Macaca fascicularis: one gene and its partner. The protein of the gene in region 2 binds, or shares a complex with, the protein of the main gene of each other region. Links are inferred from orthologs where the notes say so. Each region holds a gene or a part of one and is shown on either strand. Other genes may lie near its edges.

What was found.
Region 1: the proteins of RNH1 (region 2) and RNASE2 are in contact, whole or in part, in a crystal structure (PDB 2BEX), measured with the Homo sapiens proteins. The link is inferred for Macaca fascicularis from reciprocal best matches to the Homo sapiens genes RNH1 and RNASE2. Residues at the interface, in NP_002930.2 of Homo sapiens: Gln11, Cys12, Arg34, Asp36, Asp37, Arg64, Ser65, Gln93, Asn94, Asp122, Gln148, Glu150, Tyr151, Thr176, Lys205, Trp262, Trp264, Glu265, Trp319, Lys321, Gln347, Ser349, Asn350, Trp376, Ala378, Asp379, Glu402, Asp404, Asn407, Cys409; in NP_002925.1 of Homo sapiens: Lys28, Trp34, Trp37, Gln41, His42, Ser47, Gln49, Thr51, Asn52, Gln55, Val56, Asn59, Gln61, Arg62, Arg63, Cys64, Lys65, Asn66, Gln67, Ser91, Asn92, Arg95, Asn97, Asn111, Leu112, Thr113, Thr114, Pro115, Asn119, Ile120.

Annotation. Positions count from the first base shown.
Region 1 is NC_088381.1:88,601,374-88,607,970, reverse strand, and holds RNASE2 (non-secretory ribonuclease), read right to left. Parts: upstream 3,578-6,597; 5' UTR 3,511-3,577; intron 3,304-3,510; 5' UTR 3,298-3,303; coding exon 2,815-3,297; 3' UTR 2,636-2,814; downstream 1-2,635.
Region 2 is NC_088388.1:401,255-409,049, forward strand, and holds the start of RNH1 (ribonuclease inhibitor), read right to left. Parts: upstream 5,342-7,795; 5' UTR 5,120-5,341; intron 3,951-5,119; 5' UTR 3,892-3,950; coding exon 3,811-3,891; intron 2,910-3,810; coding exon 2,825-2,909; intron 2,530-2,824; exon of another isoform or gene 2,489-2,529; intron 2,300-2,488; exon of another isoform or gene 2,145-2,299; intron 288-2,144; coding exon 116-287; intron 1-115. UniProt on the Homo sapiens protein: Ribonuclease inhibitor which inhibits RNASE1, RNASE2 and angiogenin (ANG). May play a role in redox homeostasis. Required to inhibit the cytotoxic tRNA ribonuclease activity of ANG in the cytoplasm in absence of stress.

The sequences.
Region 1 (6,597 bases), on a different chromosome or scaffold from region 2:
CCTGGTGTCTGCATGACTGGGTGCTTTTCCTCCTGTTCAGATTTCATTGTCTGAGATGGGTCTTTCCTGGTGACACTCTGCCCTGTGATGTCTGTGGTACATACAGAACCTCTATATTGTGGTGCTCTGTGTAATTTTCTGTGTACTATGCTGTGTATTTTTCCTCCTGACACTTAACAAAATTTTGCATGCTTAGAACAATTTTGTATGTTTATTTTTATCCTAGCATAATGTGGCCCCAAAAGAGCAGTGACCTGTCTTGGTCTGTGTTGCATCAGCACTCCCTCAAACTGTGCCTGGAGCAACGTACCTACTCAGTAGATGTCTGCTGGATGAATGAATGAGCGAAGGAATGGATGACAGGAGAGGGGATGAAGTCACAAGGTGAAGAGGGCGTGGGGGCATGTGGGGACTGATCCCTCTGTCCTACGGTTTTAGATATGAGGCATCCCTGACTGAGAAGACACCTATGATCTGGTACCTGAAGCAAGGAAGGTCCACGCCATCTTTCTTCACAGTAGACGTGGCTCCAGCTTTCAGTGTCCCACCCTGTCCTTCTGCTACTTTGAGGGTTGGGAAGACTGCACTCACTTCCTGACATGCTCTATTTTACCTAGAGGCAGTGGATTCTGTTGAGCACTGAGATTTCCCAAACCCAGTGTCCCTGTGCAAACTTTTAAGTTCATAGCCCCACCTTGGAGAAGCAAGATCTCAATGGCTTCTCCTGAGGAGAGACTTCAATACAGCTGCTGTCTGGTGCCAATGAGAGTCACTATTACTGACATGGAGTCATCTGAGGAATGGAAATTGCTGTTTCTGAGGGTCTAGAAGAGGAGCAGAAATATAGAAGTCAGAAATCTCAGACTGAAGGACCAAGGTGCAGATCTGATGACGTGGTATCTCTGTTGTATTGTGACTCAGGCCATCCAAAAAGACCCACTCTGTCCCCGGCACAATCATCTGAGTGCTGCACCTGTCCACAGCTTGCAAGAAAGGGCTTCCCCTTCCTGTTTCTCATGGATTCCTGAGTGAAGCCCTGTAATGGAGGCCAGGGCAAGGGCTCTTATTATCCATTTCTTCTCTCTCTGGGTCTACAAATCCCTACTTCTTGAGGCTGTGCCCTTCCTGACAGGTGTTGAATGAACCCTTTGACTCACCATTGCGGATAGCTATGGAGGGCAGAATGGGCAGGAGTCATCTCACCTTCATGAGTGTTCCCACTTCCGCGTCCTCCTCTTTCCCCTTCCCCTTCCCACGTGACCAGCGGCTCCCCATCTCCAGGACATGGAAGTTTTGGGAAAGATGCCCATCTCTCTTCCAGGCGGTATTACAATCTGTCCCTATTGCTGTCTGAACAATTTATCTTATTGCACATTTGACTCAAACCTTGGATCCACGTCTAGTACAATTGCTAATAGCTGGAGATTTGATGTGCTCATTTAAAAGGAATATCTCTGAGGCTAAACTTTTTTTAAAATCTTGATTTCACCTTATTTATAGCATTCTTGACTTTTTCTACTTTCTGTTTTTGTGTTTTCTATCATAACGTTCAATCCTATCAAAATTTATCATTCATAAATCATAATGAAACACGTGCATTTTCAGCTTATTCACTGCAGCTCCTATATATCTTGGGATAGAAATCATGTCAATAAAAACCAAACTTATACCATAAAGCATCAAATGGGACCTCAGTATCAAATTGGGCTCAATGGTGAAATACAACTAAAACAAGTGGAGATCTAGAGTCAAGTTATAGGTTGGTGTGTGGGGAGGGGTCAGCGGATGGAAAATTGCCTAGAGGAGATATCAAGACTAGGGAGACCAATGCTAGGTTGATGTAATTGGATTTTTGGTTTTTTTTGAAGTCAGGCCAGGAATCAGGTATCACATGGAGAATGATGGGGGAATTAAGGAATTTGGTCAAATATTGAGGATGAGAGATTCATGACAAACCAAGTTAGGAGGACTTCTGTAAAACCTAACTTTAGGTCTGGTACTGGTGGCTCATGCCTCTGATCCCAGCATGTTGGGAGGCTGAGGAGGGTGGATTGCCTAAGGTCAGAAGTTGGAGACCAGCCTGGCCAACATGTTGAAACCCACTCTCTAAAAATTACAAAAATTGGCTGGATGTGATGGCACGTACCTGTAACCCCAGCTACTTGGGAGACTGAGGAAGGAGAATCGCTTGAACCCAGAAGGTGGAGTTTGGAGTGAGCCGAGATCTCGCCACTGCACTCCAATCTGGGCAACAGAGCGAGACTCTGTCTCAAAAAAAAAAAAAAAAAAAAAAAAAAAAAAAAGAATAAAAATAAAAGTAATTATAAATGACTCTACAAGGAAGGACTAGTAAGTCCAACAGGATGACCTAGTTATGATGAGGGTTCAGAGGAGATGACTAAAGCTTGATCAAAGCAAGAGTCTTCGACAGTTGGTCGATATCAGTTGTGACCTCAGCTTCTCAACCTAAAGCAGGGAGAGGGATAAGTCTGTGCTACTTCATGACAGAAAGAGTCTCTTATCCTCAAATCTCTATTTCCCACAAGTCTCAGGTTAGAGGAAAGAAAAATTTCTGGAGTAGATTGTCACTAAATGACAGCAGAGTGGCCAAAGAAGACACACAGACACTTCCAGATGAATTTGCAAAGCAGTTTATTGCAGGGTTCACAAGGGACTTCAGCTCAGGAAACCTGAAGGGGTATGGATACTGATGAGGACAGATGCTGATACCCAGGGTACATGGAGGGATGGGATCTTGGCTATGATTGAGGAGCTTGGCAGATGAGTGATGATGAGGAGTGCTGATACAGGAGCTTAGATGACTCTATCCAAGTGAACTGGAACCACTGGATACTGTGGAGGGTCCCGTACTGGATCGCTGTTGTTACATGCAACTATGTAGTACTTGTTTGCTGTTGTCTGTGTATACCTGCAATTTGAAATCCTTCGACTTGGAGTTGTGAGGTTACAGTGGATTAAAGGCACCTGGACTCCACTATGATGACAATTGTTGAGACTTGTGTTGCTAGGGCAGGGCATGCTTGGGTTACCACAGACATGAACTACATCAGCAAAAGTTGTAAGAAGAAAAGTATTTTGATTTTTGCATCGCCGTTGATAATTGTTAATTACCAGCATTGCATTGGTGCATTGGCCAGAGGTCATATTTATATGCTGGATTTCAAACCACTGAGCCCAGGTAAATTGTCCGGGTTTGGCATGAAGTGAGCCTTCCACACCCATAAGCCCCAACAGAAGAAGCAGACAAATTGGGGAAGTGAACAGTTTTGGAACCATGTTTTCCTGTGAGAAAAGAAGAGAAGTAACTACTCCCCCATCCGGTGTCTCACCCCACAGGCCCCTCTGCTGCCACTCTGGGGTCCCATTTCCTTTTTCTTCCTGTCCCCAAAGTGGGCCACATCTCCTAAGCACTAAGTTCAGCCCACCTCTTCCTCAGGTGCTGCCCGGTCGCTGCCCCTCCTGTCCCAGCTCTGGGGATTGCTGACTTACCCAGTCTCCGCGCTGCGGCTCCTGTGAGAACTGATCCAGCTGGTTGTTCTGGCCTTCAGGGGCAACTGTTCTTCCCTACTTGGAACTGTTTAAATAAAGCATCTCCTGGTGGGTTGGGCCAGCAGAGCCAGGAGGGAGGGTCTGACTCTTGGCCTTGTAGAAACCCACAGATGGGTACATAGTCCGCTTGTGCAATCAGATTTTTTTTTTTTTTTTGAGATGGAGTCTCGCTCTGTCACCCAGGCTGGAGTGCAGTGGCCAGATCTCAACTCACTGCAAGCTCTGCCTCCCGGGTTTACGCCATTCTCCTGCCTCAGCCTCCTGAGTAGCTGGGACTACAGGCGCCCGCCACCTCGCTCGGCTAGTTTTTTGTATTTTTTAGTAGAGACGGGGTTTCACCATGTTAGCCAGGATGGTCTCGATCTCCTGACCTCGTGATCCGCCCGTCTTGGCCTCCCAAAGTGCTGGGATTACAGGCTTGAGCCACCGGGTCTGGCCCATCAATCAGCCTTTTTATTTGATAACTTGGCTGAGCAATGGATACCCAAGGATAGCCCTGCTGCTCTTTCTGCTATGAGGACTCTAATTCCAAGTCATTCTGTGTAAGACAGAGTTTTGCTGGTTGGATCTGGACTCTGGATGAAAACTATATGTTGCCTGCAGAATGACCACAGATTTTGTAACTGTCCTCTGGCAGGCCCCTAAATGACCAAAGTGCACGAAGGCAGGGCATAGTAGTTAGAACAAATAGAGCCACAGAGGGCTGTTTGCCCAGGAGGAAGCCAGCTTGCCTTTCATTGTTAGTAATATCCTTGGTTCTCTCTCACACAAATGCTCTCCATCTCATCCACCACTCTTTGCTGGAAACTTGAGCTATTAACTTCTTGAGACACAAGATTCTGTAGATTATTAAAACAATCTGCTTCACATATTTGAGGGTTTTCCTTTTCTCCTCTTGCATTGGATTCACTTTCTTTTAAGTCTTGCTCTCATTATTGCTTCCACTTTGTGTAAAGTTACACAACCTAAAAATACACTGAGGAAAGTCGTAAAATCTGGGAGAGAATGAATGAACATTTGGTGTCATGAAAGATTCCAGCCTAGCACTTGGTATTCCTGTGTTCTTTTCAGCCTATGGTATTTTCTACAAAACAGTGTGTTCTGGGGTTGTCATTCATCTTCCTGATAAGTTTCATTTTGTGATATTAACAAGAAAATGGTTCTGTATTTACAAAATGAACATTTAAGGACAGAGCACTGTGTTCCTGAAAGTATAGAAATCAAATGTACAGTTTGATACACAAAGCATACACTTATTCTTGGCCCTCAGAGAAACACAGGAAGGTAATTGTAGACATATAATTGAATTACAGTGTGAGAGAGGTAATTGCACTTGTGTGAACATGATTTCATGGGGACACTGAGGGTGAAGGAAATCACTTGGCTTGAGGGACAAGGAAGAGTTAAAAAAAAAGTTTCATTGCAGCAGGGTCCTAAGGTAAAAGCAGGGGGTTTTCAGGGGCTTTCGGGAAGAGATGAACATTCTGGGCATGTGGGGAGATTGTATGGAGGTGGGAAGTGAATTGCAGGGGTAAGTCGTGGGTACTAAGAGATGTTAAATCTGGTGGTCTAGCTTTGAGATTAGAAAATTGAAATTAGATCCTTAAATGATATCATATACTTTCCAACCATTAATCTGCATAATTTTTGCTACCATCCAATTTTCCTGTCATTTAGAAATGCAGTAATTTTATCACTGGAGTCCCTAGGTAAATGTGGACACAAAGGGGACCTGGCGAGGACTCAATGTGCAGCTAATAGTGTTCTGCCTTGAAGTCCTGCTCTGGCCGACAGTCATTAGCAGCTTTATCATGAGGCGAGTTTGTTTTTTCATGTATATTGTGTGGAGATCATTTTTGTAGGTGATGAGAATGTAAAGGTGAATGATACGTAGAGTATCCCCTCTGTGATGCTGACAGTCACACTGGGTAGAAAGATTTGCACTCAAGTGTCTATAGTATGAGGCAAAAGACAGAGACCGCAGCCCCAGGGCATGTACTTGACTAAACAGTGTTTCTTTTCAGCCTACACAGTGCTATTTATAATGTTTGGTTTGGAAGATAACGTTTGACATTGGAATAGTTCACTAAAAGTTTTCATCACTGTCTTATCTTTAAAAATCGCATGATGTTGATTGGTGCACTGTGTCTCCATTACTGTGTTGTATCAATTAGAGCTGAGTAAAGCTCCATCTGTGGAAAGGGCTCTAGCTCAGGGCTGTTCTCTGACTCCATCTCTGCCTCTTGACTTTCATCCTGTCTGTTCAGTAATGTCACCTGCCTGGCTCCTGGAGACATCTGTGCTTATGACGCATCTGACTTGTTGCAGTGTCTTAAGAAATAACTCAGACCATAACCTGCCCAATTTGCAACCATATTTATCCTTTAATATTGTGTATGTGGTTTTTTTTTTTGTTGTTGTTTTTGAGACAAAGTCTTGCTATTGTCACCCGGATGGAGTGCAGTGGAGGGATCTTGGCCCACTGCAACCTCTGCCTCCTGAGTTCAAGCGATTCTCCTGCCTCAGCATCTCAAGTAGCTGGGATTACAGGCACCCACCACAATGCCCGGCTAATTTTTGTATTTGTTATAGAGACAGGGTTTCACCATGTTGGCCAGGCTGGTCTCAAACTCCTGACCTCAGGCGATCCGCCCCCCTCACCTTCCCAAAGTGCTGGGATTATAGGCATGAGCCACCACTCCCGACTACTGAAATTGTATTCAGCACATGCTCATGAGATTTTTCTGATTCTCCCTTGCATAGATTTCCTGTGTACACTTCCAACTACCTTCATTTGCCTGCAGAACTAGTAGAAATGATCTACTTTGGTATTTACGACCTTTGGGAGAAGACTGTTTTATACGAAGCAGGAATAAAGTATAAGCCAATGTTAAACAAAATTCTCTGTAACTTCAGCATGATTTTGTCTTTAACAGACACGAGCCACATCTCCCGGGTTCTTTACTTTATTAGATTAACTTGTCTTAGAGCCTAATTTAATGACACATTTTCAGACCCAATCCATAC
Region 2 (7,795 bases):
TCATACTTCACGTCCATAAACAAGGCATTCCAGAGCAGTGCACCCTTCAGAGGACGCCGCCACCCGCGAGCCTGCCCCTGCCAGCACCCCAAGGCCACCCCGAGGGCAAGTGTACCTGACCACTTGGCACTGCTGGAGCAGGGGGAGGAGCTCGGCCCACCTAGCGTCACTCAGCTGCTCACACTGGATGTCCAGGCTCATGGTGGAGGTGAAGAGCCGCTGGGTGGGAGGCAGAAGGAAGAGAACGTCTTGGCCAGATCCCCTCACGGTTTCACGGGCCGGAGATTCTGCAAACGAGAAAAGTCCAAACAGGACCCACAGGGCTGATGTTTCAGGAGGAGCCGCAGCCTCTCCCGGAGCAAACACTTCCTCTTCAGCACCTTCCCCACCTTCGTCTCTGGAGCAGCCGTCGGGAGTGGGGCAGGGGGGCAGGGACCAGCACCCACCCCCAGAAAGGCCACCATGGGCAGCAGAGCTTGGGAACACAGATGCCAGCCCACCACCTGGCTGTCGCCACCCAGCCTCTGTGGGCACCTCCTCCTGCCTTATAGAGGGCGGGACAGCAGCAGTCCAGGAAGCCCATGCCTCTCATTTGCCTGGGCAAGGACAGGGTAGGGTGGGGTGGTCTGTGAGCCTGGAGGCCCCCGCAGGGGAGCAAGGGAGTCTGTGCACTTGGCCTGTGTCTCACTCTGAGGACAGGAGGACTGGGCGGGCCAGGCAGGCTGCCCACAAAGCCAGAGACCTCTCAGGATGCCAGGATCCTGGACCCGGCCAGTGTCCCAAGCAAGACAGAGCAGGTGGTGCAGCCACTTGGGGTGCCAGCTTCCATGGCCCCCCTCTGGGGCTGGGGACTCTGCACCAGGCCAGGGCACATCCCCTGTCCCACGGCACACCAGCCCAGAGGCCAGACTGCCAGGCAAGCTGGGAGAGTCAGCCTGGGACGGGCACGGCTGCCACATCCTGAAACCTCCCCAGGCACAGGCCCTGAATATGGAAGGAGGTTCCCGAAGCCCTGCGAGCACAGCTCAGGTACCTGCCAGGGGCCTGGGGAAGGGAAGTGGTCAGGCAGAGACAGCCACCCCAAACCTCGGTAGGTGGATACATTCCCTGAGCACCTGCCAAGCACTGGCCTGGGGACTACAGCAGGGCAGGAACCTGGAGAGGAGGCTCGACGGCCAGGAGGCCTCCCTGGAAGCAGCAGCCCTGATGCCACACTGAGGGGAAGGGCGGGCAGGGCTGGGGAGAGGCTCTCATCCAAAAGCCCCAGGGAGCTGGCAGGATCCACTCCAGGAAATGACGCAACCCCAGCTGCCCTTCAGAAAGACGGCCAACAGGACCGCTCGAGAGGCTCCTGGTGCCCCGACACCCCCAGCTGCCTGAGTCTGTGTGCCAGGCACTCCTCTTCCCGGGGCTGGTTCAGAGGCGGCTGGTCCACTCCGGATGAGTGGAGGGAAGAGGCCCCTGGTACCAACCAGGAGGAAAGAGGCAAGGCTGGGCTCGGGTCCACACGCCTGGGCGCCAGGCCTGCAAGGACAGTGGTAAAGGGCGGTGACACCCCATGGCCCCACGCGGAGGAACTGAATCCACCCGACCCGAAGCGCGTGAGCAAAACCGACCAGGGTGTGGTCACCCAAACTCTGACTCCAGAATCTAGTCATCGGGAGGTGCTGTGGACGGCAGTGGGGGTGGAAGGAGAGCCTCAGGCAGCTGCCCAGGCTGCACATGCTCCGCACATCCAGCCCGACACTCTTGTGTCCTCCATAGCCAGATGAAAGGTGGCCCCAGGGTGTCCTCCTCCTGGGAAAGCTTGGTGGGGGCTCAGGGAGGCCAGCGCTCCTGTGACCATCTGGAACTAGGGCTGTGGGAGTGGCCCCGTCCCCACCCCTCAGGCTTGGCCAGACCCTGCTGTATCCCAGGAAGGCCCTTCTGAACCTCTGTGGGTCACAGATCCCACTGAGAACCCCATGAAAATGCGGGTGTAAACGCCCTTCTCTGTGACTGGAGAAGGCCCTGGCTCCCTACACAGCCAGGGCTAAAGCACACTCAGGAACCCGCCACCACCAGCCAGCAGCCTGCTTTGGTCAAGGCAGAGGTCTGAACAGCGGCCCTAACGGTCCCTTATCCGGAAACCAGACCTTCCCAACCTTAGGGCGGGAGGTCTCCGCAGCGCCCAAGACCTGAGCCCCCCCGCCCCGGGGAGCCACACGGGAGGGGCCGTTCGGAGGCCAATTCAGGTCCTTCGGTTCCGACGTGATGGGGACGTGGACACGGCGACCTCCGAGGGGCGCAGGGCCACCCCCTAGGGAGACACGGGCCACGCTCAGGCGACGTGCAAACGTTCCTGGTCCCTGGGACCCCCGCCCGCGTCGAGTCCCTCGAACCCGCTAGTTCTGGACACCCTGCCGCATACTAAAGGGCTGGGAGGGAACCTCAGAAAAACACGGAGTGGGTCTCCCCTGCTTCTCTGCCCCCGCCCGCGCCCGCTCACCCGGCGCCGCCGCCGCAGACCCAAGGCCCGAGCCGCTTCGCGCTCCTTCCGCCCAGGCGGGGGCGGGCGGAGCCTCCAGCGTGCCCAGCTCAGTCCCCGGGCCTCGTTCCAGTTACTACCCCAGCTTCCCCACTCCCCCCTCGGTTGGGGGTGAAGCCTGACGTCCGCATCCCGTTTCCCACCGTCTGCCCCCAACCAGCCTTTCCACTTAATCTCCCGGAACCGGCGCCTGCACCCGCCTTCCCCCAGACCATCCCTCCAGCTCTGGCAGCCCCTGCCTCCTCCCACAAACAGGCCGGATTCCAAGAATTCCCCAAACACTAAAATAAAGCAAACCTGAGATACTCCTTTTTGCTACCAGACTGGAGATCATGGAACAGATTGACGATGATTTGTTGCGGCTGACGCGAAATGGGCGAGGCTGTGAGGAGAGGTTTTGGAGAGCCGCTGGGCCCTCCTGAAAACTTTGGACACACCCTCCGTTTCTATCAGTCAAGAGTTCTGGCCGGGCGCGGTGGCTCAAGCCTGTAATCCCAGCACTTTGGGAGGCCGAGACGGGTGGATCACGAGGTCAGGAGATAGAGACCATCCTGGCTAACACGGTGAAACCTTGTCTCTACTAAAAAATACCAAAAAAAAAACTAGCCGGGCGAGGTGGCGGCCGCTTGTAGTCCCAGCTACTCGGGAGGCTGAGGCAGGAGAATGGCATGAACCCAGGAGGCGGAACTTGCAGTGAGCTGAGATCTGGCCAAAACCAATGTATATCTTTTTTTTTTTTTTTTTTTTTTTTGAGATGGAGTCTCGCTCTGTCGCCCAGGCTGGAGTGCAGTGGCCGGATCTCAGCTCACTGCAAGCTCTGCCTCCCGGGTTTACGCCATTCTCCTGCCTCAGCCTCCCGAGTAGCTGGGACTACAGGCGCCTGCCACCTTGCCCAGCTAGTTTTTTGTATTTTTTAGTAGAGACGGGGTTTCACCGTGTTAGCCAAGATGGTCTCGATCTCCTGACCTTGTGATCCACCCGTCTCGGCCTCCCAAAGTGCTGGGATTACAGGCTTGAGCCACCGCGCCCGGCCCACCAATGTATATCTTAAATGTATTTCATTGATGCCTCATATCTCTCTAAAACGTATAAAATCAAGCTGCCCCAACCACCTTGGACACATGTTCCCAGGATCTCCACCGGCCGCAGTCACTCATTTTTGGTTCCGAATTAATCCCTTCAAATATTTTACATTTTAACTATTATTATCAACAGTACCTTTTTAAAAATAAGAATGGCCCTGAAAGATGTCAACATCCGAATCTTCAAACCTGTGGTGTTACCTTACGTGGCAAAAGGGACTTTGCAAATATTAGGAATATTGAGATGTGAAGGCTATCCTGGGGTATCTGGGCGGCCGGCATATTATCGTGAGGGTTCTTATGCAGAGACAGCAGGTTTTGAAGATGGAAGAAGATGGCCTCTAGAAGTTGGAAAAGCAGATTTTCCTTGGGAACCTCCAGAAGCAACTACCCTTGCCAACACCTTGATTTTAACCTCCTAAAACTCACTTTGGGCTTCTGAGCTTCAGGCCTGTAAAACAACCTATCTATGGCAAATTCGTTATAGCAGGGATGAGACAATAGCTCACTGCAGCCTCCTCCTCCAGGGCTCAAGCCATCCTCCTGCCTCAGCGTCCCAAGTAGCTGGGACTACAGGCGTTCACTACCACAACTGGCTAATTTTTTCCATTTTTTTGTAGAGACGGGGGTCTCACTATGTTGGCCAGGCTGGTCGCAAACTCCCGGGCTCAAGAGATCCGCCCGCCTTGGCCTCCCTAAGTGCTGGGATTACAGGCTGCACCAGCGCATCCAGCCAAATGTAACCTTTTTTTTTTTTTCCTGAGACGGAGTTTCACTCTTGTCACCCAGGCTGGAGTGCAGTGGCATCATCTCGGCTCACTGCAACCTCCGCCTCCTGAGTTCAAGCGATTCTCCTACCTCAACCTCCCAAGTAGCTGGGATTACAGGCGCCTGCCACCACGCCCGGCTAATTTTGTATTTTTAGTAGAGACGGGGTTTCACCACGTTGGCCAGGCTGTTCCTGAACTCCTGACCTCAGGTGATCCGCCCGCCTCGCACTCCCAAAATCCTGGGATTACAGGGGTGAGCCACTACGCCCGGCCCCAATGTAACTCTTAACGGCAATATCGTGTGCAGTCTCCCGCTCGTATTCGGTTTACTCGACCAATCGCTAAGACGACACTTGAGACTGTTTTCATATCTTTAGGCTTTCCACCATCCTAGAAAGGGGCCTTGCCTGGTTCTAAGGCCGTTCTGAAACACTACCCAACTGTCCTCGGGAAACGGTGCAGAAATCCTCTGGTTTCCCCCAAGGCGCGTGGGCACCTTGGCTGGAACCTCGCCCAATAACACGATGTGCCTGGGGCCCCTTCATCATTTCCGCCAACCCTGGTTACAGCCCTGACGCCGGCCCCTAAGAGCCGTTCCAGTTCTGTCGCTCTCCTCCCCGCAGCCCCAGGCGGTAGCTTCGCGGCCCGGCGTCCGGTCTCCCGGTGGTCCCAGAGCGAGGCTCCGCAATGGAGGGCGAAGGACCCTCCCTCCCCGACCTCGCACGACCGAGACCGCCCACCTTTCCCCCAACGCCCGGCGGTGGGAGCCGTTCGAGTCTTCTCCGCCAGAGCGGTCCTTCCCGGGAGGCCGGTTCTTTGGGGGAATAAGGTCAAGGGTTACGTGATTTGGGGAAGAAAGCTCGGCTGGACCAAGATTGCTTGCGCAGCTCGCTGGAATCTAAGGCACTAGGGGGCACGACGGCCACGCGAGAACGACCCAAGTAGGCGCAGCACCGCCCCCCGCCCCGCGCAGGGACTTCCGGCGCGCCCCAAAGGGGAGCTCGCGGCGCGATGACGTCTTCAGGGAGCGCCACATCCGCCGGGCGGCGCATCTGCCCAGCGCAACCTTGCCGGCCCCAGACCCCTGCCCCGCCCGACCCCGCCCCGCCGCGGGAGCGCGCCACTCGCCCGCGCAGCAGGGGCCTCAGTAGCGCTAGGCGCGCGTCTTCCGAAAGCCCGACCGAGGCCGGCGTGGGCGAGGCCTGGCTACAGGCTGACGCACCGCTGGAGCTACTGACCTCGGGACGACTGGCGGACGGTCGCAGGCCTGGAGACCCAGAGCGAGACGGCCGACTTCCTTCTCGAGCCAGCAGAACGGGTTGAATGTGTCGACACCTCCAGCCGCCAGAGTCAGCGGCGCGGGCGTGTTGGAGCCGGCTGGTGGGCGCGGTCAGGTGCGGGGGCGGGGACTACTGGGCGGGGCTCGGCGCAGGGGCGGGGCCTGATGGGCGCAGTCTCGGTGCGGGGGCGGGGCCTAGAGGGCATGGCTCGGCTCGGGGGCGGGGCTCGGCGAAGTACAGTCGGCGCAGGGGCGGGGCTCGTGGGGCGAGGCTCGATGCGGGGGCGAGAGGGTCTCGTGGGGACGGGGGTCTCCCTAGTAGGCGGGGCTTGGTGCTGGGGGCGGGGCCTGGCGGGCCCGTGCTGTGGCCTCGCACTGGCAGACACTTCTCGGCGATTCCTCAGAATCCTCGGAGGAGGCGGCCAGACCCGGAGCGGCAGCGCCGTGGAGGCGGAGTCGCAGGCGCAGGTCGGGCCTGGCTGGGGCGCGGAGCGCGGCCCCCGGAGAAAGCGGCGGCCTCGGGACAGGAGGGACCCGGGAGAAGCCCCCCTGGGGCGGCTCCGCATGTCGGGGTCGCGCCTCTAGGCGACCTTGGTAGAGGGGCTCCTTTGCGCCGAGATCGCGACCCTCGAGGGAGCCACGGCCCGGTGATCCACGCTGCCCGTCCCGGCCATTGGCTGCGCCTTTGTTTCGTGGGACCCCAGCCCGCAAGGCCTGCAGAGCTGCGGACCCAGCTCTCATCGCGGACCCAGCTGCTCCCGCGTCCATTCTGCGGCCAAGACACCCGAGCGCCGCCCGGAGCCCCGGTACTGAGGGGCGCAGGCCGAGTTCCAGACTAGCCTGGGAAACGCAAAGCGACCCCACCTCCACAAAAGTGGGTTTACTTTAAGTTTTTGACTAGTCCCCAGTTCACAAAATTGACATTTTGGCAGATGAAGATTGCAAGGAAACTGACGGTACGTCAGATTTGTTCTTTAGCAATTTGCTAAACCTCTTCTCTGACTGCCTTTATTATGTATTTATTTTCCAGACAAGGTCTTACTCCGCTGCTTAGGCTGCACTGCAGTGGCGTGATCCCAGCTCACTGCAGCCTCCACCTCTCGGACTCCAGCGATCCTCCCGCCTCAGCCTCCCAAGTAGCTGGGACCACAGGCGCCAGCACGCCTGGCTTATTGTTTTATTTTATGTAGAGAAGAGGTCTCCCTGTGTTGCCCAGGCTGGTCTTGAATTGGGCTCAAGTGATCCTCCTGCTTCAGCCTCCCATAGCGCTGGAATTACTGGCAGGAGCCACTGTATCCGGCTTGATCATCTTTAAAGAAGGTGGTTCTGGCCGGGCGCAGTGGCTCACATCTGTAATCCCAACACTTTGGGAGGCTGAGGAGGGTAGATCACCTGAGGTCAGGAGTTCAAGACCAACCTGGCCAACATGGTAAAAACCTGTCTTTACTAAAAATACAAAAATTAGCCAGGCGTGGTGGCGGGCACCTGTAATCCCAGCTATTCGGGAGGCTGAGGCGGGAGAATCGCTTGAACACGAGAGGCAGAGTTGCACTGAGGCTAGACCACACCATTGTACTCCAGCCTGGGCAACAAGATGAAACTCTGGCTGGGCACAGTGGCTCATACCTGTAATCCCAGCACTTTGGGAGGCCAAGGCAGGCAGATCACCTGAGGTCAGGAGTTTGAGACCAGCCTGGCTAGCATGACAAAACCCCATCTCTATTAAAAATACAAAAAATTAGCCAGGCATGGTGGTGCTTGCCTGTAATCCCAGCTACTTGGGAGGCTGAGGCAGGAGAATCACTTGAACCCAGGAGGCAGAGGTTGCAGTGAGCCAAGATCATGCCACTGCACTCCAGCCTGGGCAACAAGAGTGAAACTCCGTCTCAAAAAAGAAAAAAAAAAAAGAAACTGTCTCACAAAAAAAGAAGGTGGTTCACACACACACACCCCCCCAGGAAAGCTCAGGGCCGGAAGGCAGCCAACCTGGCCGTGACCCTCATCCTGCACACATGAGCTTGGTGACCAGTAGCTGATTCTTTAACCCTCTAAGCTTTGGAGTCTGGATGTGAGGTTTAAAATTCATGACAAGAAGCTGGAAGGATGCCTCCAGCCTGACTCCTGGACTGGTTCTCTT